4 linked regions of the Pelodiscus sinensis genome follow. The protein of the gene in region 2 interacts with the protein of the main gene of each other region in a biochemical or structural test. Links are inferred from orthologs where the notes say so. Each region holds a gene or a part of one and is shown on either strand. Other genes may lie near its edges.

What was found.
Region 1: the proteins of SIAH1 (region 2) and SNCAIP form a complex in vitro, tested with the Homo sapiens proteins (2 studies listed by BioGRID, with this or other methods). The link is inferred for Pelodiscus sinensis from reciprocal best matches to the Homo sapiens genes SIAH1 and SNCAIP.
Region 3: the proteins of SIAH1 (region 2) and POU2AF1 form a complex in vitro, tested with the Homo sapiens proteins (2 studies listed by BioGRID). The link is inferred for Pelodiscus sinensis from reciprocal best matches to the Homo sapiens genes SIAH1 and POU2AF1.
Region 4: of the proteins of SIAH1 (region 2) and HIPK2, one has a biochemical effect on the other in vitro, tested with the Homo sapiens proteins (4 studies listed by BioGRID, with this or other methods). The link is inferred for Pelodiscus sinensis from reciprocal best matches to the Homo sapiens genes SIAH1 and HIPK2.

What each region holds. Positions count from the first base shown.
Region 1 is NC_134716.1:55,040,538-55,047,564, forward strand, and holds the start of SNCAIP (synphilin-1), read right to left. Parts: upstream 3,001-7,027; 5' UTR 2,160-3,000; intron 1-2,159. UniProt on the Homo sapiens protein: Isoform 2 inhibits the ubiquitin ligase activity of SIAH1 and inhibits proteasomal degradation of target proteins. Isoform 2 inhibits autoubiquitination and proteasomal degradation of SIAH1, and thereby increases cellular levels of SIAH.
Region 2 is NC_134722.1:28,842,078-28,849,770, reverse strand, and holds the start of SIAH1 (E3 ubiquitin-protein ligase SIAH1), read left to right. Parts: upstream 1-4,679; 5' UTR 4,680-7,693. UniProt on the Homo sapiens protein: E3 ubiquitin-protein ligase that mediates ubiquitination and subsequent proteasomal degradation of target proteins.
Region 3 is NC_134736.1:6,300,758-6,307,714, forward strand, and holds the start of POU2AF1 (POU domain class 2-associating factor 1), read right to left. Parts: upstream 3,011-6,957; 5' UTR 2,869-3,010; coding exon 2,853-2,868; intron 1-2,852. UniProt on the Homo sapiens protein: Transcriptional coactivator that specifically associates with either POU2F1/OCT1 or POU2F2/OCT2. It boosts the POU2F1/OCT1 mediated promoter activity and to a lesser extent, that of POU2F2/OCT2. It recognizes the POU domains of POU2F1/OCT1 and POU2F2/OCT2.
Region 4 is NC_134711.1:100,536,475-100,543,867, forward strand, and holds the start of HIPK2 (homeodomain-interacting protein kinase 2), read left to right. Parts: upstream 1-4,390; 5' UTR 4,391-4,511; coding exon 4,512-4,530; intron 4,531-7,393.

The sequences.
Region 1 (7,027 bases), on a different chromosome or scaffold from region 2:
CACCAAGTGGAATTTTTTTATTTTCTAATTGGAGGATGTGAACCTGTTCCCACTGACTTCGAAGGAAGCAAGACACAGTACTGCCAACCTCATTGTTCAAAAGTCACGAATCAGGCCCTTAAAAAAATCAAGGCTTAAAAATCAGGAGATTTTAAAGACTAATAAAATGTGGGTTGTTTTTATTTACCTTCTAGTTTGGGGTGTTGTTTTTTTTGTTTGTTTGTTTTTTAATCTTTAGGGTATACTGCTATCATATTTCAAAGCTTTTCTCTGCAACCATAACACTAGAAATTTAGGGCTTATTTACATGGTGGGTGATAGGCATTATTAAGTGTGTGATTTCTATAGTGTACTAATGTCATGTACATAAATTAGTCTGTGTATACCCTGCTGGTATACACTGAAGGCTCTTTCATACTGTGCATTACCCTCTCTCTAGTCAAGCCCTTTCTTAAAAAAAAAAATTCACAATCAATTGTCTCCATGCGCTAAGGATGTAAATCAAACATCAAATATCATGAGCTGGCAACACTGATTTAGATCAAGCATTTGTATATTTCAGAGCTAATTTATATTCTAAGAGTCTGACCCTGCAGCCCTTACTCATACAAGTTTTTTTTACTCACACAAGGACTCCCATTGATATCAGCTTAAGTAAACAGTTTGTAACATTCAACCCTATGTTATTAGACTAGCCTTGGATTAATTTAACTATAATCTGTGCTGTAGTCCTCCCATTAGATAGACCTGTAATTAATGTTCTTAGAACTAAAAAAGAAAGGAATAAGCTATTTTCACTAACATTTCCTTAAGGTATAAAAACAGTGAACTTTTCTTCAATTTTCTTTTAACTATCAAAATGTACCAGTAGAATATATAGTGTTTAAAGCCATTTCCCCACAAGGGATATATGGCTCAGAACAGAACACAAATAAATTTGTATTGGCTTCAAATTTCATAGAAAATGATTTTTACAGTGCCACTTTGGAGAACTGACATCATTCATATACATGCTTGAGCTCTAATTAAATCCCTCGGATAAAACCATAATTTCATTTGGAAAACACAACCCTGGGCTGCTCCACTTCATAGGGTGAGAGAAGAGGCTCTTTTATCTGCTGTCATTCTTTTCTTTTACAGAGGAGGGTGCTTTTCTTCTTTGAGGGATACCTGTCAATCATAAACTGATAAGAAGCACAAGGCTCTGTTACTTGTTTTTAAGAGGGAAACAACGGGAATGGCATTTTTTTCACCAGCTACTCAGAGGAAAGCCAAAAATACAACAGGAACAGATAATTATATTGCAGGATTTTGTTCAAGGAACACTGAAAATTGTCAACAATAGTTATTTCTGAAGCCTATTTCTTCTCTGCAAGCAGAGTTCAGCGAAGAATGCTAGCATTTCCTGTGGAAATTGTGTGGTTGCCAGTAACAGCCTCCTAATTTTTCTTCTCCCATTTTTATTGTTTTGTTTTGTATTTAAAATAAACACACCCTGGCATTTCGACAACAGCCACAATAACCCTTTACCTCATTCACCACCTGCAGATGAAAGTCATCAGCAAAGGAAAGCAAAGGAGTCACATTTCAGCAAACAGCAAAACCAAAGCACACTGTAACCCAGCAAGAGAGGTGGCTGAGGATGTCCAAGTCCTGCATGCTGGTTTAGAGGTGGGGTAGGGGGGACAGACTCTTCCCACAGTATCCTTCTGTGCATTCGTTTCACCCAACCCTTCACGTCCCCCTGTACGAGATGGTGCCCGTGTTGCACAAGGCGGCTCGTTAAAAGCCAGGATGCCAGCGACAATACAAGCCAGGGTGCCAGCCAAGAAAGGGGGGCGTCCATGCCCCACAAGGTAGCGGGGAAGCTGCTGCCTCTTGTGTGTCAACCATCTCCCGGCTAAAACCACCTCTTGGCTGCAGCGTTACTATAGACACCGGCTGGGTCCTAACCCTTTCGCAGCGAGGCGCTCCTCTCCGCGAGACCAGCCGCGCGGTCCCCTGCCTGCGCTGCCGGAAGGGATGGGATCCCCCTCCTCGTGCTCAGGGAAAGGGGGTGCTGCTCCTCCCCCCCATGCAAACTTGGAGCCGCAGGCTGGGCTGCTCCCCTCCCGCGGGCTGCGCCCGGCCCAGGCTCCAGGGAACTTTGGCTCACTCACCCGCGGCTCCGCCGGCCAACGTGCTGCTGCGCGGGGCCGGGGCTCGCGCTGCTCCTGCTGCCGCTGCTCCCGCTCGGGTAGAACGCGGCCCGCCGGGCGGGGACGCGGCCGCCCGCTGCTTGCGTCACAATCACGCCGCGGCCATTCCCCACGCCGGGAATTCGGGGGGCTGGGGGGAGCCGCCACGTGATGAGCAGCGAGGCGCCGCCGGGCGGGGAGGCGGGCAGGGCGGAGGCGCTGGAGGCTGCCCGCCGCAAGCCTGACTGACGGGAGCTCCCCACCCCCGGGCCCCGCCGCAGCCCCGTCCTGGCCCTCGCCTCCCGCTGGATTCCCCCCGCCCCCGCGCGTGTTTCTTGCACTTTCTCCTTCGCCCCGCTGTGACAGCCCGCCCCTGCTCCCGCCCCGCCGCGCTGCCCTGGGCACTGGGGCGTGCAGGGGACTGGAGGAGGTTGCAGCTGCAGGGGGGTGTGACCCCCCCTTTTAGCCCCGGAATCGCCCCTACACACGCGGGGGACAAACGCTCTTCACGCGGGGCGGATGTGCAGGTCGAACCGTTGGCGGGTGGGGGCTCGTCGCTCCTTGAGAAGACTCGGTCCAGGTGAGGGCTGAGGGGAAAAGCCCGCTCCTAGCACCATCCCGCTCGGCAGGATCCCTGCAGCAGCAAGGAAGGACCGGCGGCGCCTACCCTGGTGCTCACAGTATTCCCTGCGGGGCTCCTGCTGTCACACAGCCCACTCCAGCAGCGGGCCCAACTTGTGCAAAAAGTAGCAACATAGGACCCCGTGTTCTAATTTGCTGGCAACATCAGGCACAATTTTTTAAACAGAGGTTTAAACTATCTTTAAGGTGAAAACACACATCAACTCATGCTATAAGGTATTAATCACATGGCATCATACTGCACTAAAAATACCTGAAAATGTTGGGTTTAATTCGTTCACATCTGTTTAAAATAAAACCGTGGGTTTTGGCTTAGTATAAAACCTGGAAAGCACACATCATGCTTTCCTTCCAGTAGATACAGATGGAGTTGGTGGCACCCTTGCAATGTATGGAATATGTTTCCATTAAAGTCATGTTAACTCCCTCTGTTAGAAAATCATATTTTATTTCATGTTATTGAGGGTTAGCATAGTTACAAACTGTTTCTTTGCTTCTGAATGTAGACTATTTTAGTCAAACATGGGCCAGGTGGTCACTCTATTTAAACATTACGGTAATTGTTTGTTACAAGGTTCTCAAGTGGTAACCATTGTGATTTCAGTGTGAGGTAACAGGAAAACACTACCCATAAGCTAAGTGGTAGTTTAGCTGCAGTGAAAGTTCTTTTAAATGCATTTCCCCTCTTTTTCATAATTTAATTTTATTCCCTTCTGCCATGTTTTCTCAGAAGTGTCTGGGATTTTTTTAAATCACTGTTCACACACATTTTCTAGTCTACCTTTTAGACTTATCCTGTTTTCTCACTGACTCCCCAGAGATTTTATACAGTTTTACATTTCAAACATAAATCAGGACTTGGATTTTCAGTCTCAGATGAGGCAACACTGCAAAAGCCCCAAAGATGCATACTGCAAATTAAAGTGAATTTCACGCATGTAAAAAGATTCTGGTTTGACATTACCGGTAACTGTTATCTACAGAACAAATATAGCACAAACAGTAACAAGTTTCCTCCAGTGCATCACTAATATTATTAAACCCATTCTGGATTGAACATCTCCAGGAATTCAGAGTGGTATTTCAGTCTGCATGTTCATTTACTTCTTGGCCTTCATGAGAGTTCCAGAGAAGCCAGTGAATCACAGTTCTTGGCCCATTAGGAATGGAATTGAGACCACCATTCGATGTCATCCATAGAACAGCCATCAGATAATAACTACTTTGAAACACTTTTAATCTGATCTGCATTTGCACCAGTGACTTGGAGATGAAAGACAGTATAGCGTTCCATCAATTCACTTGAGGTATCTAGTCCCTGTAACATAATGTATTCTCATATATGTCACAGCTCATTCAGTACACTTGCCCAAAGGATGAAAAGTGTTAATTTAAAAAAATTAATGTATATTGTTAAGATGGTATGAAAAGAAGCTTGCACGTTGATTACAATGAATTCTAGGTTTTCTATTCAGGCCATGCGTGCTATGCCTAAAATGTTAAAATGGTCTCAACGCTATCTGAGGAGCGTGTTGATTCAGGGAGAGGAAGAGAAGGGTTTTATTTTGGAAAGATTTCACTATTGCAGTGTTTTTAGGAAAAGGCATATGCAGAGACTGCCCATTTCACACTCATACTTACATAGAGATTAAATAACTGTTTTGGGGTATTTCAAATGCATTTGATTAGGTGGTTTTTTTAAAGGAATTCTGGTCAGCTGTGTGTGATTAAATGGTTTTTAAAAGAATACAGGTCAGCTTCAGAACACAATGTCACATATAGCTCATGCCTGGTTGAAGAACATAGTGTCTATGGAAAAGAAAAGCAGTATATTTTGTAATTTAGGGGCCATAAATACACTCTATATTTAAATGCAGCCTTTTAGCCTGCCAAGTATATTTTTATGTGTTACATGTGATAATATCTCATGTAGAGCTGATATTCCTGTTTATGGACTTGCTCCTGCACTCTTGGTGGGAGTTTTTGCTTGAATGAGGAGAGCCGATCATGCCCTATATGTCCATATAAGCAATAACTTGGCATACAAGGGTCAGTTCTTATAAGGATTGCAAGATATACCATATCTGTACTTTATATTACACAGTACTGTTAGTACTCTTTTTAAAAAAATCACAGGACACCAGGGCTGTGTCTACACTGACATGAATTTCCGGAACTGCTTAAAATGGAATACTATTCCGTTTTCAGTTTTTCCGGAAAAGGAGCGTCTACATTGGCAGGCTGCTTTTCCGGAAAAGCCCTTTTTCTGGAAAAGCATCTGTGGCCAATGTAGACGCGCTTTTCTGGAAAAGAGCTCCGATCGCCATTTTCGCAATCGTGGCTTTTTTCCGGAAAAGACGACTGGGCTGTCTACACTGGCCCTTTTCCGGAACAGTGTTCCGGAATAAGGACTTATGCCCGAGCGGGAGCAGAATAGTTTTTCCGGAATAGCGGCTGATTTTGTACAGTAGAGCATCGTTGCTATTCTGGAAATTCAAGGGCCAGTGTAGACAGCTCGCAGCTTATTCCGGAAAAGTGGCTGATTTTCCGGAATAAGTGGCCCAGTGTAGACACAGCCCATCTGTATTTTTATAGCATACAAACAGGTACACGGCTTTATTGAAATGTAGAATATTTCCCTCTTACCATCTTATCTCCAGACAAGATTTATTGAAAAATAGGCACTAGTATACTTTTTTTTAAAAGATAGTTTACCCAAGATCAGTTCAGTAGTACATGAAAATGCTCTAGTATTACAGACAGACTGATCATGGTAATGCATGTGATAAGAGTAAAGAGTATCTTTCATGTGTGTATGTAAGAGACCAGTCTTGCTTCCATAATAGGGAGTGGGAGCTGAAGGTAGACAGCGGATGGTTGCAGGGCTAGATCCTAGGGGCCTGAACAGGAATCATTCCATCAACTTCAGTGGACAATGGATTAGGGCCTGTGTTTTTAACTGTGACCTTCAAATAAATATCGGGTGTTTTAGTCTAGAACTAAAATATTTTGCAATTTAATAATATTTGTATTTTCTATCCCACAGCTTGCAAAATTAAGCAATTACAAAAATTCTACAAGCTGTAAATAAAGGAATGTACAGTACTTTATATCTGTAGTCAGCCTCCAGTTTCCAGTATGGTAATCTATGACTTATGGTGAGTGTGATACAATCATGTGTTCTCATGGGTGTCACTTTAAGTAAGAACTAGTTATTGCAGAGAAACTGCATTAACATCTTTTGAAATAACAAAGGGTAAGTTTTAACTTGCACTATGAATGCTTCCTTTTTATATTATTTAGGGGCATTCAGGAATTAATTGTTTGTTTGTTTTAAGTTTGCCACTCAACTTTAATTCTTGGTGAAAAATATTCCCCTCTAAAAGCCTAACTTATTTCAGACAGGTGAGCTAAAATTAAAGACATTTTCCCCTCCTAACTTTGAAAGATTGAAAAAAATAGGACAGATTCAAATTAGCCCTGATTTTAGTCTTTCAAACCCATTCTGTATTCTCCCTACTTGAAATTTTTCATATAGTAGACTACATTATTCAAACCATGTAGGATATGGGAGAGTTAATCCAAAACTTTTTGATGCACATTGAGTAACTCTCAGAATGCAAGTCGCACCAATAATGTTTGCACAAAACCCCTGTTCGTTTCAAATTGCATTGTGTGAACACTAGGGATGTGAACAACTAGTCAAATGATGCTTATCGGACAGTCGATAGGCTAGTCGACTAGTTGCTTCCCCACCTTGCTGCCTCTATCACAAAGAGGCAGCGGGGGAACAGGGGAAGGGGTGCTTCAAAGCGGCAGCTCCGTGTGGAGCCAGGGGTCAATGAAGGAGTCTCCAGCTGACCCTGGGCTCCATGTGGCACTGCCGCTTTGAAACGCCACGTGGAGCCCAGGGTCAGCTGGGGACTGTTGAGTCCCATGCTGGCCCTGTGCTCCCAATAGTGCTTTCACTTTTGAAGTATAACAACAGCCCTAGGGCTGTTGCTACACTTCAAAAGCGTAAGCACCCTTATTGACTAATTGAGTAGTTGATACAAATTGCATCGATTATTCAATTACCAAATAATCAAAATTTTACATCCTTAGTGAACACATGGAAACAGTTGGCAGCAAAGTGAGGGCATAGCATTCTCTGACAATATCTTATGATCTTTTACTTCTCTGCTGAGAAGCATGCATCCCAGGATTGT
Region 2 (7,693 bases):
TCTTTGTTAGCTAGTTCCAGGTTAGCCAAAGCTTCTTTTGTCTCCACTATTTCATGAAAAAAATTATGGTCTGTGATAGTCAGATTACTGGTCACTTTGATAATCCATTTTACCATTTCTGGGGGCATGTGTTACAGCTGGGTTTCCCAACCGAAAAAGGTTGTACACCACTGGTTTAGACCATTTTTACATTTCTGTGAGCACTGCTATCATTTTTCCCCTTTTCAACAAGTGTACCTTTTCAGCAAGTCTGTCTTAGAAGCTAACGCTCACACCTGACACTAGCACTGCCTTCTTTTGACCTGAATGGCTAGTCAGAGTTTGAGGCCCTAGGATATTTCAGTTAAGATGAGAAATTGGTGATAGCTAGGTATTTCTTTGATCCAATTTTGTTCATTTACAAGGAATGTATGTAGATCTCACCGAACAAAGGAGGAATCGAATAGGAGAGAACATCTTTTCTTGTTCTCAGCACCAAGAAAACACTTGTTAGCATGCACACAAAACTTATCACAGCAATAAAACCGCACACGAGCCCCACAAGCCTGACTCGGGTGGCACGAGCCATATGCATGTTTTTTCTTGACTGTGGAGACATACCCTTAGTTACTATTTCTCCCTCTGCGTTCTGCTCCTCAACTTTCCTTAAAGAAATGCTGGGTTGTTGGGTTTTTATTGGTTGTTTTTTTGTTTGTTTTTTGTTTTTTTGGTCCTAGGTGGTGGCTTATCCTTCCAGTTACGTTAATTGAAGGGTGCATTAACACCCCCTCAGTCAAATGAGGTTTTAACTTAACCAAAAATTAGGTTTCATCCAGCTCATAAGATAGCTTTTAAAAAACTGGTCTTGTTTTTCAGTTAGATCTGATCCACTCCTCTTCCATCTCCTAATTGTTTTTTCAACTTTGAATGAAGTAGGTCTGGATGACCTTGAAGACCAGAGTAAATTCAATTGAACACAGGTAGAAAGTCATGCATTTAGGGTCTACTAATTTCTGCTACAAGCTGGAGGATTACCAGTTGGAAGCCACAGATTTAGGGAAAGATCTGGGTGTGTTCTGGTCAATCACTGAATGACAATAAGAAACCAATATGTGGCTGCAGAAAAAGGCAAATGTGATTTGAGGATGTATCAGGTGAGGTATTTCTGCTGGAGGGAATCTGGAATACTGTATACATCTGATCGCCTGTATTAAAAAATGTGTTGAAACTGGAACAGATGCAGAGAAGTGCTACTGTGATGAATAGGAGAGTAGACAACCTATCTGAGGAGCTTGGAAGAGCTTGTTTTGTTTAGTCTAGCAACAGCAAAAAGAGGGTGGATATGATTAGTCTCTCTAAATACACTTTGTGTGTGTGTATACACGTATGTATGTACCAGTGATGGTGAAGAGCTATTTAAGCTAAGGGACAGTGTTGGCAGAAGAATAAATGGGTATAAATTGGTCATGAACAAATTCAGGATAGAAAGTAGAAGGATTCTAACCTTCCAAGCAGTAAGGTTTTGGAATAGCCTTCAGCCCTACTGGGAGATGAGACCAAACAAACAAACTTTTGCGAGAGGGCAGGCCCAAATATAAGTGTTGATAGAGTATTTTTGTGATGGTGGGGAGTAGGGGGTAGCAGTTCTGAGAGGGTTTATTTCGGTTTATGTATTACGTTCTTAAAACTTATGTTTCAAGGCTTCAGACAGCTACCTGAAGAGATCAGGAAGGGATTTTTCCTCTGTGATGTATTGCAGAGGTTTTTTGTTTCCTTTCTTTGAAGCATCAGAGAAGGCCGTTTTTGCAGATAGGACACTGAAAAGGCTGAAATGGAGCACTGAGAGGGCCCCAAGCATTCTCTGTCTCAGGTACTTAATTTGCTGGTTATTCCTCCTGTTCAGGGTCCAACTACTTGCAGTATCTGGGGTTAGATGGTAATTTTCCCTTAGTGATTTTGGAGGACTTTCAACTTCCTGTGCATCATGGGTAATAGGATGCTTTCCAAGTTTAACTGCGTATATTTAATTTAATCAGTTCCCTGTAATCTTGTGTGTTGTGAAACTTGGATTGGCTGGTTAGGCACACTCCAACACCAATAACACAGAGATTAAATCATTGGTTATGATATTCTGTTAAAAAGAAAAAAGTGTTAGTAGCCCATAATCTTGAGATCATCACACAAAGCCAACTGCTGATTACTTTATAATGGATGTTTCTTTAAAAGTTAAAACAATATCAAGCATCATGTGGAATTAAAAAGATGACTATTTATTAGCAAGTCTTATGTTTATAGCTTTATTTTTGTAGAATCTGTTCTTTAGAGTGCAAGTTTAGAGCTTGTCTGCAGTGGGAGTTATTCAGAAACTACTATCCCAGAATAATATGTGTAAATGCTGCAGATGTTTAAAAACAAACAAAACTATTAGTGGATTGAATTTCAGTCTGTTAAATGCTCCACAGACTGCTGGGAGTTTAATTAGTAAGGTTAACTGATAAGATAATGCTTATTGGTTAAACTCTTGCATCTCTAGAGTTACTCCTGTTCTTGAATAAGAGTACCTTGTTTTTGTTTAGTTTAATACACCTTTACATTATCAATTATAGTGTAATAAGTGAGTCTAACCCGATTACAGGCAGTCCCCAAGTTACGTGGATCCGACTTATGTCGGATCCGCAGTTACGAACGGGGCTTTTCTCGCCCCGGAGGACGCGAGCGGCAGGACGCCCAGATGCGCAGCGGCTGTTCTGCTGCCACCATCCTCCGAGGCTTTGCTCCCCGTCTCCCTGGTCTGCTGGGGGGAGCCCCCCCCCCCGGCAGACCAGGGAGACGCGGAACAAAGCCGCGGAGCACGTGGGCAGCAGGACAGCCCAGACGCACCGTGGCTATCCCGCTGCAGGCGTCCTCCGAGGCTTTGCTCCCCGTCTCCCTGGTCTGCTCCCCACAACAGACCAGGGAGACGTGGAGCAAAGCCGCGGAGGATGCGGGCGGGACCACGGTGCGTCTCGGCGGGACCGCCACCCGCGTCTTCCTGGTCTGCTGGGGAGGAGAGGCGCAGCTAGTGTGCGCCCCCCCCGCTTCCCCCCAGCAGACCAGGCTTTTCTCGCCGACAATGCCTGGGGCAGAGCAGCTGGGGTGCTGCCGGGTTGGTCCCGCAGCGCCGCTCCTCGGCGCTACTGGACCAACCCGGCAGCACCCCAGCTGCTCTGCCCCAGGCGTCCCCAAGTCAGCCGCTGTAGGTTTGTTCTTAAGTTGAATTTGTATGTAAGTCGGAACTGGCGTCCAGATTCAGCCGCTGCTGAAACTGACCAGCGGCTGACTACAGGAAGCCTGGGGCAGAGTTGCTCTGCCTCGGGCTTCCTGTAATCAGCCGCTGATCAGTTTCAGCAGCGGCTGACATGTGGATACCTGGAGTAGAGCAGCTGGGTGCAGTGGCTGAATCTGGACGCCAGTTCCGACTTACATACAAATTCAACTTAAGAACAAACCCACAGTCCCTATCTTGTACGTAACCTGGGGACTGCCTGTATATAAAATAGTTGACACTGGATTTTCACTAGACAGTATTTCAGAATTGATAATGCAGTCCATAGCTCTGAATACTGCAGAATCAACAGTTTGCATTTTTGAGCTCTTCAAGTGTGAAAACATGGTGTAGGAAGAACACAGAAAAATTCTCTAAATCCATAATCTTTAAATCACTGACTTTCCGAACTGGTACATGTCTTGTGTAAATGATCTTTTTTTATTAGAATAGTCCTTATTTTGCAACTGTCAGTGGTTGGTTCATACTGCATTAGGTAACTCTTTTTTTTATTATATTAAACCAACTTTTGTATGCAAGAGGGGTTTGTGTAAAGAGACTATAGCTCCCTGACACAAGTTCTGGAAATGACAACAGTTGTTGACTTTTGTATAACTCTGTAATAAATAAGAGGGAAACATATCAGACACAAATGTACATCAGGATAATTCCATGACTATTGAAAGTGAATGGGAATTATTAAAATTTATAATTGATCTGACTTTCAGAAGTTTGTGTAACTGTCATGTGCAGTCTAGAGACACCACAACTGTTATTGAAGGTCAATTGAGTGAAATTTGACTCTAATAAGTAGTAAGCGTGACTAGCTTTCTATCTGAACTGTTGCTAAGCTTACCTTTCTGTATGAGACTGGACTGCTGTTTAACTCTTTATCTCAACTATTTAAGATTCCATTGCAAACCAGAACTTAATTCTTCAAAATGAAAGTCTCAGAAAGTTAGCCATGTTAATCTGTAACTTTAAAAACAATGAGTAGTCCTGTGGCACCTTAGAGAATCTATATCTATATCTATATCTTTATCGAGAGAGCCCTGAGCCTTCTTGGGCAAAACCCACTCTTTCAGATGCGCTGAAATTGGAATCCAGAATTTATAACGGAAAAAGAAGGCGGGGAGGGGGGTGATGGGGAAGGAGTACCTGCCAATTGTTGTGCTGCTGTATAAAATCAGCTTTCCATGCATTTAACACCTCATTTACATAAAAAAAACTAAGTATGGGATACTTCCAGCCCACTCAGCTGTACTTTTTGTTTTTCTCTCCCTTTTTTTTCCATAAAAATAAAAGTTGATGAAGAAGCTAGAGATTTTGTCAGCTAGGAGGAGCCGTTGGACTTCTGAAACCTCTGGAAATGTGGGTGAAATATAGCTATTACGACTAAAAATATCAGCACAATTCCTAATATCCTACAGTCCTGTCAGCACCAGATTAAATCATGATTTTTGTAACCAGTTAGAGACATGGTCACTTTAACAGTTACGTGTATCACACTTCAATTTATGTTTAAATAGAAGCTTTTGCGAATATCGACCTATGATTATGCCAGCACTCATTGGGGTAGGGTTAAGGACTAAGCCTGCCAGAATTCATGTTAGGGTTAAGTTTTATTAGCATGCATGTAGGCTTTTTCATTTTGAAAGAATATTTTCTAGAATGTTTTTACCTTTTATAACTGATCATCACTATTATCAGTATATTAAGGGAAAGCAAACATATCTGTTTAGGCAGAGGGTCTTTGATGGGAAGTGCATTGTGAAGGAAGGAAAATGTTTTTCTAGGACATTCCTTGATCAGAAGGGAGTGAGACATGGGTCTCCAGCTAAAAGAGGCTACAACTGGGAGAGCTGGAAGCCTGTGATTGAGTGCCCATTTTGGACCACTGAGAGGAGCAGTTGTCTTGAACTGATATACAGTTCTAATAGTTTTCTGTAGTCTTCCAGGGAAAAAACAAGGGTGGTCAAACTCTGAATTTCTAATGTAGTGGGAAACACTTTTTTCCTTTAAAAAAAAAAAAAAAAAAACTTGGACGTTTTATACATTATAGAACTCATACACAATGTTTTGCCCTTTTGCAGGCAACCTCTGTTTGCTCTTGGAAATCTTGGGTTTACAGATTTACTATGTTTGTGTTTAAAATGTGCCTTTATGTCTTCACTATTACTGTTTCACGTACTTTTACAGTAATCCCAGGTGCCAGTTTTCCAGAATCCAGTATGTTCAGTACTGGATAAGTTCAGCTGCATCAACTTGATTTTTTCCACTTGTGTGAGGATCAAGAATACTGGGTACAGAAATGGTCAGCTCATCTCGAAAAAGTTATATTGGCATTAGCAAGGCTTGACAAACTGCGGTGAGAGCTACTCGCCAGCCCCACACCGCGCATGTTCCAGACCGGCACTGCGCATGTGTGTAGCGCCGGTGAATGGGGTGCACAGAGCGACCAGCTGAAATCTACTCACCATGGGCGAGTAGAAACAGTGGTTTGTCGAGCCCTGGGCATTAGGAAAAGGTTTAGAAAAGGGCAACAAAAATGATTAGGGGCTTGGAATGGGTCCTATTTGAAGAGAGATTAAAAAGACTTGGACGTTGCAGCTTAGAAAAGGGGAGCGTGCGGGGATATTATAGAGATCTATAAAATCATGAATGGTGTGGAAAAAGTAAATAAGGAAAAGTTATTTACTTGTTCCCACAATAGAACAACTAGGTCACCAAATGAAATAAATAGGTAGCAGGTTTAAAACAAAAGGAAATTTTCTTCAAACAGAGCACAATCAGCCTGTGGAACTTCTCGCCAGAGTATGTTGTGAAGACAAGGACTTTTAACAGGGTTGCAAAAAGAGCTAGATGAATTCATGGAAGTTAAGTCCATCAACGGCTATTAGCGGTGTCCCTAGCCGCTGTTTGTCTGGAAATGGTTGACAGGAGAGGGATCACATGATGATTACCTGTTGCGTTCCCTCCCTCTCGGGTATCTGGTATTGGCCAGTGTCCGCAGACAGGGTACTGGACTAGATGGCCGTTCTTAAGTTTAAAAACTGTGCCATTTCTTAACAGCTCCATGGAATCTTCCCACACACCTGTTTTCTGCACTCTTGCCTGGGTTCCTCTGCCTTCTGGAATAGTCTTTATGTAGGAAGTTTAACACATTTACAATTCATTACCACCCAAGTGTCAGAAGCAAATCAGTAAAACTAATCTGATTACTGGCTGCCAGCTATCCAATTTTCAACTGGACTGCCCAGTCAAAAAGGGACCCTAGTGGCTCTGGTCAGTACCAATGACTAGTCTATTATTAGGATTGCCAGGTGTCCGGGTTTGAACCGGACAGTCCAGTATTTGAGCTTTCTGTTCGGGAAACAGAGAAAATATAAATGTCCAGTGTCTAAATAAGATGTAATGTAGTTTGTGATGTAATGTCAAGTGCGTCCCGTTTTTTTGTTGAAACCATCTGGCAACCCTCCCTATTAAAAGTGCCACCAACTGGATAGTAGGGCTGATGCAGTTATGCTGTTGCTTCCAGGAGCTGCTTGAGTTAAGCAGTAAGGAGGTTGCATCCCTGAGCTCAGCCTACCCCAACCTCCCTCCCACTCACTGAACCCTTTGATACTAGGCTAAAGCCTCCTCCTGCACCCTAAGCGTCTCATCTTCAGTCTCATCCCAGAGCCTGTACCTCCTCCTGGAGCTACAACCCTCTGTCTTCCCCCATGCCTCAGTCCCAGCCCAGAGTATCCCTCTAACCCTCAAATCCCTACCCCTATCCCAAAAGTCCGAACCTCCAGCTGGAATCCTTATCCCCAGGGCAGCCCAGCCTCCATAAAATGAGAGATGGGGGAGGGGGAGCAAGTGGGAGTGGAGCCTTGGAGAAGGGGCAGAGGCAGGGTGCTTTTATTGTGGAAGTAGAAAGTTGGCAACTCTCTTACGGGCTTGTGGGGGACAATACTTCATAGCTTTTCTCTCTTACATGCTTTAACGTCACATTTTCAAAGTGGATTTATAGGTTAGAATAATACTGTTACAAATAGGTATACAAAATTGTGGTTGTGGTGTTGTGTAAGCCTGTTGGCTGCTACTCAGAATACTCATGTACAGGAAAAGCAAGAAATTCAGTTATCAGCTGTTGGAAACAGCTTTAATCAGTTAAAATTCCGCAGCGTATTTTATACGGGGCAGTTGAAGTAGCTTCTAAAAGTAGCAGCGAGCGAGTTTCTAGCGCGTTGTAGGTAGGTGGGGCACCACCCATTCTTTCCCGGCGTTTCGGAATGTGTTTTGCTGACGGCACAGCCATCTCGGCTGATCACATGAGGTCGATATGCCAGGGTGGCTCCCTGGGCCTGGGGGAGGGAAGGAAAGGCAGCACGCAGGAGCTGCCGTCTGCTTTCTCCGCCTCCTCCT
Region 3 (6,957 bases), on a different chromosome or scaffold from region 2:
GCAGGCATTTTGTTCTTGTTGTTATTTCTTTTAGTTTTCCATTAACACAGCTTCCTCATTTTTGTGTAGTTCCCCTTTTTTAAATTAAATGCTCCCATGGTGGGTGTCTTTGGCCTTTCCCCCCCTACAAGGATGTTAAAGCTTATTGCATTATGGTTGCTATTGCCAAGCAGGGTAGCTATGCTCACCTCTTAGATCAGAACTTGTACTCCACTCAGGAATAAATCAAGAATTGCCTCTTCCCTTGTGGGTTTAAAGATAAGTTGCTCCAATAATAAGCGAACCAAAGAATGCCACTGTAGCTAAACGGCCGAGTAAAAGAGGCAGTTATTCATGGTGTCTAGAAATAATTATCTCTGCATCCAAGGAAGCTGACAAATTGCTGGTCAAGGTGTGAGCAAGGTGTGTGTAGGGCCTGGAAGGGGCGGGGCCCCATGGAAAGGGCGGGTCCTTGTGTGGAAGGGCTGGGGCTGGGACCGACCAGCCGTCAGTGCTATGCGGACAGTGCCACCTCCCCACAGCCAGCTCCCAGTCACCCATAGTGCATTGCCTGGGGTCCTAGCAGTGATTGAAAGGGCTCAGAGCTCTAGTTACCTCTGAAATTACCAGGGCCTGGGGCAACTACCCTCTTTGCCCTCCACCTCCATCCATCCCAGCAGTGGGCCTGTCTGCATCCCTTCTTGAGGTGACATATCCTGCTCTCCTGAGTGCCAATCTCGTGCCCTAACCAGTAGATCATTCTAGTTAATTGCTAAAGCAATTAACTAGTTATCAAAATGACTTAGGGAAAAAGCAAGTTTAAGAATGTTGCAATGGTGCTAATATTTAGAAAGTATTGATTTCAATAAAAATTAAAACTGATACCGAGGTCTAACCTCAGCACCAAAAATAATCATTTCAAACATGTCGGCCATTTACAAAAATCTTTGTTGCCCCTTCCTTGTTCTAAGAGGCATCCCTTCAATCTGGCCCCCAAATCCTCTTGAGCAGAAGTCAAACAGAGATACATCTGCACTACCAACTCTTTGCTGGGTTTTAAAAACCTCCGCACTGAGGAAGCCAATTAAGGCAATTGCTGTTTCTTGTAATATGTTTTGAAATGTCCAATAAGAATTGCTATCACAGATTCTTGCATTGAGAACTGGAGGGGGTGCTCTGCAGATAGGAAGGCATTGCACAAGCATTGTAGTGCTTTGAAGTTGTCAAATGGGAGCTACATATTCACATTGTGGGACAATCAACCTCTAGTACAGCAGCCTGGCCACTTTCAACACAGGCCTGTAATTCCTATGAATCTTTAAAGCATTTGTGTATATACAAGGGAAGAACATACCCCAGCAATATTCAGTATGAATATCATTCCAACTCTGCTAAAGACAGCAAATTTTGATCATAGACCTATGTCTGTGCAATGGACATCTAAGATTTCCTAGCTACTAAATTACATTTGACTCTGATCTTGCTGCAGTTTTTTAGATTGCACATTCTGTGCAATATGCACTATTGATTCTGAAAAGAGAAAAAGATAATGAGAAGAAAAATGTTGCTGCAGTAGCTACCATAGTCTACTATATATTGTGTTACAATACAAACTCAAGCTGCACGAAAAAAAATATAGCTGGAGCTTCTTGCTATTTGATTTTGCAGTCCGTAATATACATTTTAAAAATCCATATTTTTACCTAAAGAAAAAATGACTATGCAATTGTCAAATAAAACAAACGAAAATATTCGAATGTGTTACAAAGAAAACATGATTGACTGTTGATTATCTCAGAATGATAGATACAAACAAAAGTCATCGTTGTTTACTCTTTGATCTCTAACCTAATGGAAAAGAAGATTCAACTTTGTTCCATGTTAGTCAACTCACTGGAAAACATTTAAGAAATTAACCTTTTCCGTTCAGGTATGTTGTATTATAGGTTAAGTGAATAGTTTAGTGAAAGATAGAGGATGTTCCTATGGTTGCAAAAAAACAAACATCATCTTCAGAAATATGCTTGCAGAAAATAAAAGAATTAAAAGAAACAGTACAAATTTATATGTTTGTTAGAAAAAGGACTGAACTACTTGAGGAAAGATGGGACAAAATAGAACAAAATTATTAAAAAAAAAATGCCTGGGTATAACGACGTCTATACATATAGCAACTTAGAGCCCATACTGCCTCAGCTCTGCTCTGTTCCCTTATCATTTATATCTGTCACTCTCTCTTTCAATACTTATGTAAGAAGTGAACTCATACAGTCAACAATTGTGTTTATCTTTAATAAAAGTTTAGTAACTAACGGCCAGATCCTCAACTGGTGTAAATCAGCATGGCTCCCATTGGAATGCCAATAGCTCCATTTACAATGGAGTTACGTTGTTTTACACTTGGCGAGGCTGTGACCCTTAATGTATGACTCATAAGCGGAGAGGTAAAGGAAGTTGTAACACTCCTTTTCCTGCCCAAAATCATTTTTGGTAAAAGTTGTGTCCATATGAAGTTAGATTAAAAAAAAAGTTATATCAGCCTTTACTTTAAAAAATGAAAACTGGCAAGTAACAACTGTTACCTTTGATACCGTGCAGCCCTGTGACTGTTTTTATGAACCACTCTGCCATTTGATTCAAAGTGATGAATGCCAAAACAGTGTTGCTGTCTTGTGTTAATATCCATGCTGGAATATTAGCATCACACATTTTAGTAACTGTCTCTCTCAAACTAGGTACTTCTTCGGAAGTAAAAATCTGCCATGCCATTCTAATAGTGACTTAGAGCTATTATTCTTATATCTACTGTAGCTACTGTATCTTCTTATATCTACTGTAATTATGAAAAACGAAGGCAATCAGAACTCACTTACATTTTTGCCAGTGCATATTCTGTGGCAGAACGGAGGCTTTTCTCTTTGAAGAGGAGAGTTTGGCTTTTTAAATCGCTAACTGTGTTTTACTCCTTTTACAAGTGATGTGATAACTGGCTGTCAGGATGTTTCCTTCAGCTTTTTAAAAGCCCTACGTTCCCGCTGAGCAACGTGATGTCATCACATCCTCCAACCACACATACTTTATATTTTCCTTTGCTATGTGTTGTTCTTCACCACATTATGCAGTTTCTCCAAGACTAGAGTGCACTGGAAGATATTATGCATAAAAGACACGTTACATCACCTAAACATTTTTTAAACAAACACTAAGGTCCGGAACCTATAGTCAATAGGATTTTTGCCTTAGCAAGGTCTATAAGATTATCCCATAAGATACTAAAGCAGAAACATACGAGAATCTTTTAATACGGTTTTTGATCTTCTGTTGTGTTGAGAGGAGCATATGTAGGGACAGATTCCAGCTGGTCTAAATTAACATGGCACCATTGACTTCAACAGAGCTGCACCAGTTTACACCGGGAGTAGGATCAGGCCCTTCAGTGCTTAACAGTTTTAAAATACAAGCCTGAGCAATGTTTTCTCCGGTCTTCCGAGAATCTCAACTCCCCAGGGTCACTAAATCTGAACTCATGAGGAAACACCTGTAAACACTTCAAGCCTCATTAAACGACGACATCCTTCATTTAAAAAAGAAACTCTGTTTTTTCTGTTTTGTTTTTGTTGAAATACATCATTTCCTATTAAAAAAGGGATGGCTGCAGAAATGAGTTACTAACTACCCCAAGTGAATTGGGGTCTTAGAGTATAATGCATGAGTTAAGGAAGCGAGGCACCTCTCAGAATCAGGACCCTATGTTGTACTACTTTACGTGTGTAGAATTTGTTTAAAATTTAACAAGAAAAGATGATCAAATCACATGCAGATTATAAAGTTAAAATGTATCTACCTCCTTCAAATATTTTCTCAGACCTCTCAGTATTAAATAAAATAAATAAATACAATAAAAATTTTGTATTTGCTTAATGAAGAATAGCATCTACCACATTTTCTGTATCCCATAGCTCATGGTGGCATTATTTAGCCATATTTTGCATAGCTATATTAGTGTTCAACTCGCAATCATGCAATGTAGTATCCTCTTTACTGTTAATGCTTAGTAACAGTAGGCATTCGATTACCTAACACTGCATAAGTAGACATGTAAGATAGGGACTGGTCCAATGCTCATTCAAGTCAGGCTACATCTACACCAAGTCAGAAAACCGATGTAAGCTATGCAAATCTACCTATGTGAATAGGTTGAGATACCACAGGCTCTGCACTGCAGAAGGGTCGATGGCAAAAACTCCCCCGTTGACTTTCTTGACTCTTCTTCTCCTGGGTAGAGTAACATGGTAGATGGGAGAGTAATCTGTGATCAATTTGGCAGGTCTCCACCAGACCTGCTAAATCAACTGCCGGTGGTTCAATCTCAGAGTCTTGATCTGAGCTATAGTGTAGATGTAGCCTCAATGAGAGTCCCTGAATTTCAATGGGGTTTTGATTATGCCCATAGTAAGAAAAATTCCCACACTCTTGTTATGTTTCAGTTACCAAAAATGTATTGCAATTTCCCCTTCAGCTAATGGAATTTTGTATAGCATTGTAACAGCACTTAACTCTGTATTATATATCAAATATATATATATTGATAACAACACTAACCATTTTCCTAACAAGCCAAGCCCTTTCAAAACCAGGGCCAGATTATTCCTGCACAAGCTAATAAGAGTTCAGTTTAAAACCAGATCCTAAAATATGGTCTCAAGGAGTTGCAAGGAGAAGTCAACTATGGTTTTGCTTGAGTAAGGTATAGTCTGAGCAAGAGTAAAAAAAATGCAGAGTACTTTAAAGAAATATATTCTTGACCAATCCTTATAAGGAAATTACATTCTGATATTGCTGTTTTAAATATCATGTTCAGAAGCTTCAGGGGGTAGCCAAGTTAGTCTGTACAGGTAAACTGAAAAAACAACAAATAGTCTGGTAGCACTTTATAGACTAACAAAACATGCAGATGGTAGCACAAGCTTTTGTGGGCATAGCCCACTTCTTCAGATGACTCATCTGAAGAAGTGGTAGAAATGTAGCCGTGTTAGTCTGGTGTAGCTGAAACAAAACACAGGACTATGTATGTATGTATCTCAATCCATTAAGATCAACATACTATACTCTACATAGTCCTGTATTTTGCTGAAGAAGTGGGTTATGCCCAGGAAAGCTCATAATACCATCTACATGTTTTCTTAGTCTATAAAGTGTTACCAGACTATTTGTTGTTTTTTCAGTTTAAATATCATGGTAACTGAAATTCATATTCAGGTTTCTTTCAAGGAATAAATCAAGGATGGCCCAAATTTTCAAAAGTAGGCATGTAAGATGTACATGTATATCTGCACACATTCAAATTACTTGCACAATATCTATTGTGTATGATTAATTCTGAGATTTCCACACAGACATACGTGCTTATGCAACTTGCACAAGTGTATAGCATAGTACATATGTGTAAATTATATATTATGCACTCACACAAAGTTCACACCTACAGGTGTAATGTAATTTTTAAATCTTATTAAACTATATCAACCAAAGTTAAATACTTTAAAAACATCTTTATATTGATACTTTCATTATCTGAAATTGTACAGTTAAAGTCTTGTTGTAGTAAATATCTCAAATGAGGAAGTTGCAAAGAGCATGTTATCCACAGATAAAAACAGCCCAAACTATTTTGGGGTTTGATAGTCAGTCATCCATTTCCATGTTTTAACACAGTTATAAGATAAGCCTTTGATGTATTACTGAAGAGCCACGCCTCAAAACACAACCCCATACATTATCACCGAGACTTTATTTGAGTTTGATAGAAAAAACACAGTACAAAGCAAACTAAAGGATCTTCCAATTTACTACATGTAATAAAAATAGCTTTGCTTCACATGATGAATATTATTACTCAGTGTTTGGTAGCAAGTAGAGCTTGGATAAGGACTAGTTAACTGACCAGACAAAATGAAAGTAACACAGGTAGCACGAGGGAAGCAACCAGAAAATATGGCAAGGATTATATCTTCCGTTAAAACGGAAGACATGTGTCTACTGCTTCCTATTCAAGTTCACGGTCTATGAGTATACCATCAGTTGATCCCACAGCAGCAATGACCCGAAGGCAGGAGCCATTTCTTTTGGATGCGCTCTCTTGAGCAGGCCTTTGCTCAATATTCAACTACTGCAAGGAGCGCCACATGGAGCCACACTATAAATCAACCAAATTATGAAAGTTGGTGGCTCACTTGCAAAGTGGACTTTCTCATTCTGTTGATGAGAACCACCTTGGAGTCACATATTCAGAGACTAAAAGGTTTACAAGCTCCACAATAATTAGATATTATAGACACAAAACAGCCTAAGCAATAATCATTTGCATATTTTAGATTAATAATGTACCATATACAGAGCAAGGATGCCACTTTCCGATGGGCTGAGAATAACATTCCTATACAGCATATGTAATTGCTCTGTACACACCAAGCACCCATCACAGGCTTAAAATCAGGTCCACCTGGACAGTTCCTTGAACTTGTACAGAATCGTATTGACTTCAGTGGGGCTCTGCATGGGTCCAGGGATACAGCTACTCAGACGTGATAGGTCTCAGCTTCAAAGATCCCAACCAAGGGTATACAGAGGAAGTACTTGTGTGCAAACAGAATGATATGGCGCGGGGAGTAGGGGGAGGGGTGAGAAAAGAAAAGCGTGCAGTCACTACTTGGAAGCCCCATCTGACAAGACAACAAATTCTTTACTATGACAGAGACTCTAATATTCTACTACTAAGTCTATGGACAGCACAAGAACTACGTCAGTGCTTTCCCAAAATTAGTTCAGAATGGCTGGGTTGCAGTCCCACAAAACTTCATACAGTATCCCCAACTCTAAAAGGACCACTATACCGGAGAGATTACAATAAAATATTGTAAAAAATCATGCAAGCAGGATAAAATGACATGAGATAAGGCAGAAGTGGTATGATCTCAG
Region 4 (7,393 bases), on a different chromosome or scaffold from region 2:
TTGTGTCTTAGACTAAGTATCTGCTGCATTTGTCTCTGAGTCATGGTTGACAAAATTGATGATGCTGTTGTCTGGGCAGTTCATGAGATTCTATTTATACACTGGATTTTATTAGTATTATCCATTTGTAAAAGTATCCAGAGCATGGATTCGGGTGCTTAGGATAAATTCAAAGCCATCAACAAATGCAAATACATAATACAGCCAATTCACCTGTGCTTTCCTAACACAAACTAGATCCCTGCCTCCTGTGGAAGACCCGTCAGAGGGTCGAAAGAGGAGAAATACACTATGAAGGTCCTCTCTGGTGGGTGGTGTTCAAATTTGAGCAGCAGCGCCTCTAGCCAAGCCTGTGAATCTCAGGGATCCATGGGGAAGGGCAAACGCATGCAGAGCTTGGAAGCCTCCCACAGGGACCACTGAACCAGAGTGGCAAGGTCCCTCTGTAGTGTATCCAGTTTGGCAGGAATCTAGAAAGAGGCAAAACAGGTCTGAGCTGTGCTGGATCCTTAACAGATTTCTATTTGTGTGCATAGGGTTACCAGGTAGGTTTAGAAAAAATACCGGACACTCTTGATGGGGAGGGGGACCGGCTGGGAGGGGGGCGGGGCTGGCCAGGAGGGGGGATGGGGGCAGCGCGGCTGGCCGCGGGACATGGGTACAGCCGGGGGGCAGGGCTGGAGGGCGGGCGATTGGGGGCAGCGCGGCTGGCCTGGGGAGATGGGAGGGGTCGGGGGCAGCATGGCTGGCCTGGGGAGATCGGGAGGAGAAGAACTGGCCGGCAGGAAACAGGGGTGGCCGGGAAGGGGTCAGGGGCAGCGGAGCTGGTCGGGAAGGGTCGGGGGAAGCGGGGACGGGACTCAGGCATGTGCAGATCCCGGGGCGCTGTCAGTCCTGTGCACGGTCCGGAGAAGCGCAAGTCAGTCCGGCTGTGTCTCCACCATGCATTCAGGAGCAGGGACAGGGCTTCTCTTTCTCCCCAAAGTATCAGATGCAGCCAGAGCTCCCAGCGCCGATTGCGCCCCGCCTCCCAGCCATTCCCTCTACCCCCACCAGGTTTCCGTCCGGCGCCCAGCCAGAAATCCAGGAAATACCGGACATTGCACAGATCTGGTATTTTCTGGATTTTTTTACCAGACAGAGGGCCCAAAAACCTCTACCGGACACCTGGCAACCCTATGCAGAGCAGGGGAATAGTGCAGCAGAGAGAGGCACTTCTTGTGCTCTCGCAGCCCATCCTGCCCCTAGAAACCACAGACACACTTCCAGAGGGGCTCCTGTGTGAGGTGGGGAAGGATACCAGTGTTACTGCATGGATGTTCATTTCCTACCACACGGCCTACATATGGTGGGGTCCTTTTCCAGGTGCTATATCCAGGAGATGACCGGAGAGGGGGTGGGGGGAGGGAGAAGAGAGACTGGCCGGGTCCTTGGGCAAGGTGGGGGAGGCTGGCTCCACTCTCCTGGAAGGAGTGGGGACTCAGTCAGAAGGACAGGTCTGGACCTCATGCTGCACTGTCCATCCCACCCCCTACACAGTCCTAAGAGCAGCCTAGATGAGCATGGCACTTTGACGGCAATTTAAAGGGCCAGGGGCTCTGGCTGCTGCTGCCCAGCTGAGATCTCTGGGTCCTTTTGAATTGCCGGGCTCCGGGGCATGTTCCCCTCCTTCCCGCCCCCCCTCTAGCAGGCCTGGGCCTGGACAATAGTCAGAACTGCTTTTATCTGCCAGCCTAGGCAAGAACTTGATCAGGTCACAAGGTTGCTTTCAGCAGGGATTATATGGCAGTAGGAGGGACACCCTAAACTGGTATAAATAGGCACCACTCCATTGGTTTTACTAAAGCTGTGCCCATTCATACCAGCAGAGGATCTGGTCAGGTTATTTTTGTAGTGTTAACACATCCTAATGGAACATAGAAATTTCCACACCAAGTCAGACCATCCAGTCCAGTCTACTGTCTTCTGCAGATGTGGGGTAATCTGTCCCCCAAGATGATGTTGTCCTAACCTTTAGCAGACAGAAATTGACATAAGCTTTGATGCAAGAGGCTTTAAATGCCTGTGTGTGCATTTAACATGCACATGTGTGTAGCAGAACCTCTCCATAGCCAGTGACCCATAAAGGGAAAGCCCTGAAGAGGACTACTTTGCTACTTCTAGACAAAATTAAATCCACTTAATAATTTTGAGAAAAAAACCTGGCAAAAGTCCCCTAATTTTTCAAGGTCACATGTTATTTTGGCTTTGACAGAAGTAAAATTCACACAGAAATCAGGGGCTACAATGTTGCTCAATCCAAAATAAGGGGGAAATGTAACTTCCACCTTCAAACAGCACTGACTATTATCCCCATTTTACAGATGAGAAAACGAAGGCACAAGCTTCACTGAGGCTACACAGGAAGGCAGATGAAGAGGCAGAAAAAGAACCCAGCTCCATAACTCCTATTCCTTTTCCTTCCCTCTGTCCTTTGATACCCTACAAAATTATTCTACATTTGCATCCCTGCCCTGAAATGCTGCCCAATAGCTGGCATTCTTGTCAGGAAGCAGGATGCAGAAAAAGGCTTATGAAATAAATATTCATGATCCACACAAACAAGTGACCTCCAACTATAACAAGAGAATTATAGGAATAAGAAGACGGGAACTCAGGAAATAAGGATGACAACAATCTGTAATTAGGGGGCAATTATGTCCAGGGCCTAGAGCAGGACATGGCTATGTCTAGACTGCAGAGCTTTTCCAAGGAACACGTCTGCTTTTTCGGAGCAATTTCCGAAAAAGTGGACATGTTCTTTCACCATCCCTGTAATCCTCATTGTATGAGGAAGAAGGGATGAGCCGAAAGAGGAGGTTGTTCTGGAATTTGGCCCTATGTAGACGGGCCACATTTCAGAAAAGCCTCTTTCGAAAGAAAAGCGGAAAAAGATACGCAAAGTGCGCTTTGCAATTTGCATATCTTTTTCTGACTTTTCTTTGCAGTCTAGACATAGCCTCATAGTCAGAAGACTAAGGATCAGATTGTCAAAAGAGTTCAACTTCCAGTTGGGCACTGACCTAAGTGAAGGTGTTGGGTGCTTAGCACATACAATTCTGGCCACCTCATTTAGGCGCCTAAATGGGATCTGTTGAGCACCTGGAAAATCTTGTGCCAGGCCCTGATCTTGTAAAGAGTTCTGTGTATGCAGACCCATGTGGAAGTTATTGGAAGACTGGAATCCTAGTTTTTTGGTTCCACCTTTGTCATAGACTTTGCTGTCACTTAATCTTTCTGTGCCTCAGTTTCCCCATTGCTATAACATGTATACAGTTATTTACCTTCCTCTGTGAAGTACTTAGGAACCATTGCTTGAAAGATGCTTAGACAATAAAAGGTTTTCTGTACAGCACACGTCAATGGGCTGAAAACAAATGATTATGTGAGGACTGGCATTTCCCCAGCAATAACTGCGAGAAAGAGATGGAGCTGTTAAAATGAAAACAGGAGGAGGATCACAAGCTGTCAATCTCCATAAGTAAATACTCATTTGCTGTGGTTCTTTAAAAGAGAAAAATTTTGAAAGCTACAATGTCTTTGTTTTAAAGGCAGCCTCTAAATATTTACACTGCAAAAACTGGACTGAAATGCGGAAAATGGGCTTAAAAATCCCCAGAACTTTTGTCAGAGAAACAGACTGTGAAATACTTAGAGGGAAAAGAAGATTTATTTGGGGAAGGAGAGGGAAAAGAGGTAGGAATTTTCCATGCTATTGTAAAACATCAGCTCAAATTGTATGATCTCCACAGCCAGTGAATTGCAAAGCTTCAATCAGCTGCCTTTTTTTCTTTTCTGTAGGGGGGGGGGGGGGGAGAGAGACAGAACTGTTTCACCAACTTCTGTTGACTGTTCCTTTTTTTCTCCTGATTGAAATGTGTTGTTAAACAAGATCCCACATAATCTCAGTAGAGGGTTTCTGTCTCTCCTCTCTCTCTCTCTCCTTCTGGGAAACTGCGATCAGTGCCATCGGCATTTGATTATTTGCAAACTCCTTTTGCTTTTTTTCCCCTCTCCCCCTCTCTGTCTCTGTCTCGCTCTCGTTCTCGCCTCCAATGCAACTTTTGCAGAAACCCCCAACACACACAGACATGTTGAGCTGAGAGCTAGGGGGATCGGCCGAGTCCCCCCTCCCCGACCCCAAAGTCCCAAATCTGGGGGGGGCTCTGACCACCTCCCCCACCCTTGACTTGTCCACTGTGCATCGACCTCCCCATACACACGCACCTTTTTCACTCCCTGCTCCTTTTTTTGGTGTTGTTTTTGTTAGATGGACAGGATCAAGGTTGGATTTTTCTGTCTCTCCCCCGATGAAGTGAGGCGGTGATGCAGGAGGCTGGCAGCTTCGACTATACGGAGAGACACAGGCTCAAGATGGCAGATTTGTATTGAGTTTGGGGGGCTGAGATCTCGCTTCATATTTTTAATGTTTTAATATTTTTTTTTGCCATGAATAACACATCATTGCACCGATGGCCCCTATGTACGAAGGTAAGGCAGCTCTGTGTCTTTTATTTCTTTTCACCCCTCCTTATCCCTGGGCTTTGGCCATCTCCAGGCACCCCTACACCTCTCACCAAAAAAGAAAAAAAAGGTGTGTGGGGGGGAGAGAAAATCAGCACAGCTTTGAGAACACTGTAGTGGATTTTTTGATGAATGGCTCTGCCTTGTTTAAAATTACTATTCTTCCTATTCGTATGAAGGTTGATTTTAATTTACTCTTCCATGTCTTCCTCCCCTCCACCTCTGCTGCCTTGTAAAATTCACCCCCTTTTATTTTATTTTATTTTATTTTATTTTGATCGTTTCGGTCCGTGATCACGGAGGGGATGGGTGGAAAAGTCCATTTCACTGCCGAGCCGAACAATGAAGATTGGCTAAGATTGCCCTGTAATTGCTCTCTGTGTGTATGTGTGTGAGAGAGAAATGTAGTTTAAATGCAAGAGCTTGACCCCCTATTCCTTTAGCCTGTACTCCAGAAGGCATTTGCTTTGGTGTTTTGCTGGTCCACTCTATTGTAGGGTATAAACACAAAAGCATATCTAGGCAGATATGTCAGGAAAAACATCTAGCAGCAGTCTGTCAGTTCTTTCAGTTTCTAGTTAAATCCAAGCGGGGATTGCAGTGAAAATTGAAAGTGAACTTATTTTTTCCCCAGTTTTTAAATCTCTCTCTCTCCATATATATTGTGGGCGCACGTTTAAAAATAAATCCGGCTTCATTTAAATCACCTAGCGTTGTAGTTCTTTCTTTCCGTCCCCCCTTCTGGTTGAGAACTGGTGAAAGAGCATTTATAGAAACCCCTGAGTTTCTGTGGTTTTATGCAGAAATATCTTGACGATCGATTTATATAGCACGGGAGATTTTAATGTCTGGCCAGGGAAGAGGCATGCGGGAAGCAATACTTTATCTGTAGTGTGTCTGATAAAACTTATCTGAGAAGAAAATCTAGTATTAGTTGGAGGGTTCTAAATGAACTAGTTTTCCTGGCCGTGTAAAGTTCCCCATGTGCCTATTGATGCCTAGGATGCTTCGGGGTGGTTTAAAATGGCATGGCCTGGAAATAGTTTGAACTCTAAAAAGAAACAAAGGGGATTGTTTGTACGCAACACAAAATAAGTGCTATTCCAGTCCTTTCTTCCACGATCCTGAAGAGCATAGGCTTAATGTCGCCATTATTTCCCCCCTGCAATTTGAGTTAATGAAAGGCAAATGCAACAGATCTGTTAAAAGAGAGAGAGAGGGAGAGCTCTGAGGGACATGTATTATTAAACTGTAGCTGTAAAAAGGGGCTACAGTCAGTGCTGGAACTGTCTGGGGTGTTGAAATGAAATGAAATAATGTTTCTCTTTAAACACCTCCCGAACTCGCCCTCTGCTGGACGTTTAGGGTCTGGTTGAGAAAAGAAACTTGTCACTGAATGAAGAATTGTTAGGAGAGGGCTTTGCCCTTCCAAGGGAAAAGAAGCGTCTCGGTTGGGGTATATCTTTCTTCGGAAAGGTGCTGGTTCCTGGCTGGATGGGATGCTTGTGGTGGCAGGGATGCAAACAGAAAAGGCTAGCGGCAGATAGGTGCCCACCCTACTCTGGCATTGCCCCTCCATCCTCACCTGCCTGAGTCCCTGCTCTTCTGGTCCTGGGTTCCAGACTTCCTAGCTGTGTACCGGCATCTGAATCTTTACCAGTCCCATTTCCCTGCTAGCCTAGATTTGGGGCCTCACAGAAGGTAGCACTGCCAGTGTGTTTTAATCCTGACCAAATCAGTTCCCTGCTACGACAGTGCTGGGCTGCTTACAAGCTAGTCCAATGCACCCCGGGCCTGTCTTGCATCACCCTGCCTGCTGTCCCTGCCTGGAGCCTCTCTGCAACAGAGTCTAATAATCAGGTTGGGTTATGCAGTGATTTTCATGATGTGAACTAAAATCCACTGTGGGGTAGGATGAATCTACCGAGATCATGTTCGTTTATGATCACCTTCAGCTCTCCAGAGGAGGGACATCTCACTTCATGTCCCACTCACTCCCTTGATTTGTCAATATAATGGTGAACAGTGTCCATAGAGTAGAGTGAACATGATTTTCACCTTATGTCCTTTGAAGGAAACTGTGCTCATTTCTGTAAGCTTTTTTCTGTGAAAGGACATGGCACCACCCCCAATTGGGACAAGTTATAGGAAGAAAGAGTCTAATGGACATCAGCCTGGTGGAAGCCAACATACGGGATTCTTTTCTAGAGTCCTGGTGAGAGATGGAGGCTTTTAGGGGGAGTGGAGCAGTTACTGCACTCTCACTTCAGCTTCTTCAAGGCACTTGGGTGACTGAAAAAACCCGACAACTTATAACGAAGGCCTGTGTATATATATCAGTTTTGCAACAGGGAAGGTCCTACAGCAAAACTTTGCAGCCTGCTAAGATATCCCAGTCCTTAAAGTGGGCAACCCTGCAACATTCCAACTCTCTGTAACCAAGGTAAGGTCTAAATGGGGTTGGAGTGCAGGGGAAATGGTTAAATCCTGGATAGTCTGCCCTCCCTAATAGTGAAGAGAGCTCTTCTCAGTTCCTTGACACATTATAGGGTATGGATGGAAACCTGTATTTACTTGCATGTGGAATGTGAATCTAATCTTAAAAGGTGAGTGTGTGGTTCTGATCTTTCCTTCCAGAGTTGATAGTTTCCATATCACAGGCTCTCTCGAGCTTTCCTCTAGCACATCAGGTACACTTAGGGCACTGGTGGAAGTACCATAGAGGAGGTGTGATCAATGTGACAGTTCCTCTTGAATCACTATTGTAACACACATACCCCTTGCTCACACCCCAGGTCACCACCAGCACCAAAAGGTGAGAAGAGGTCTT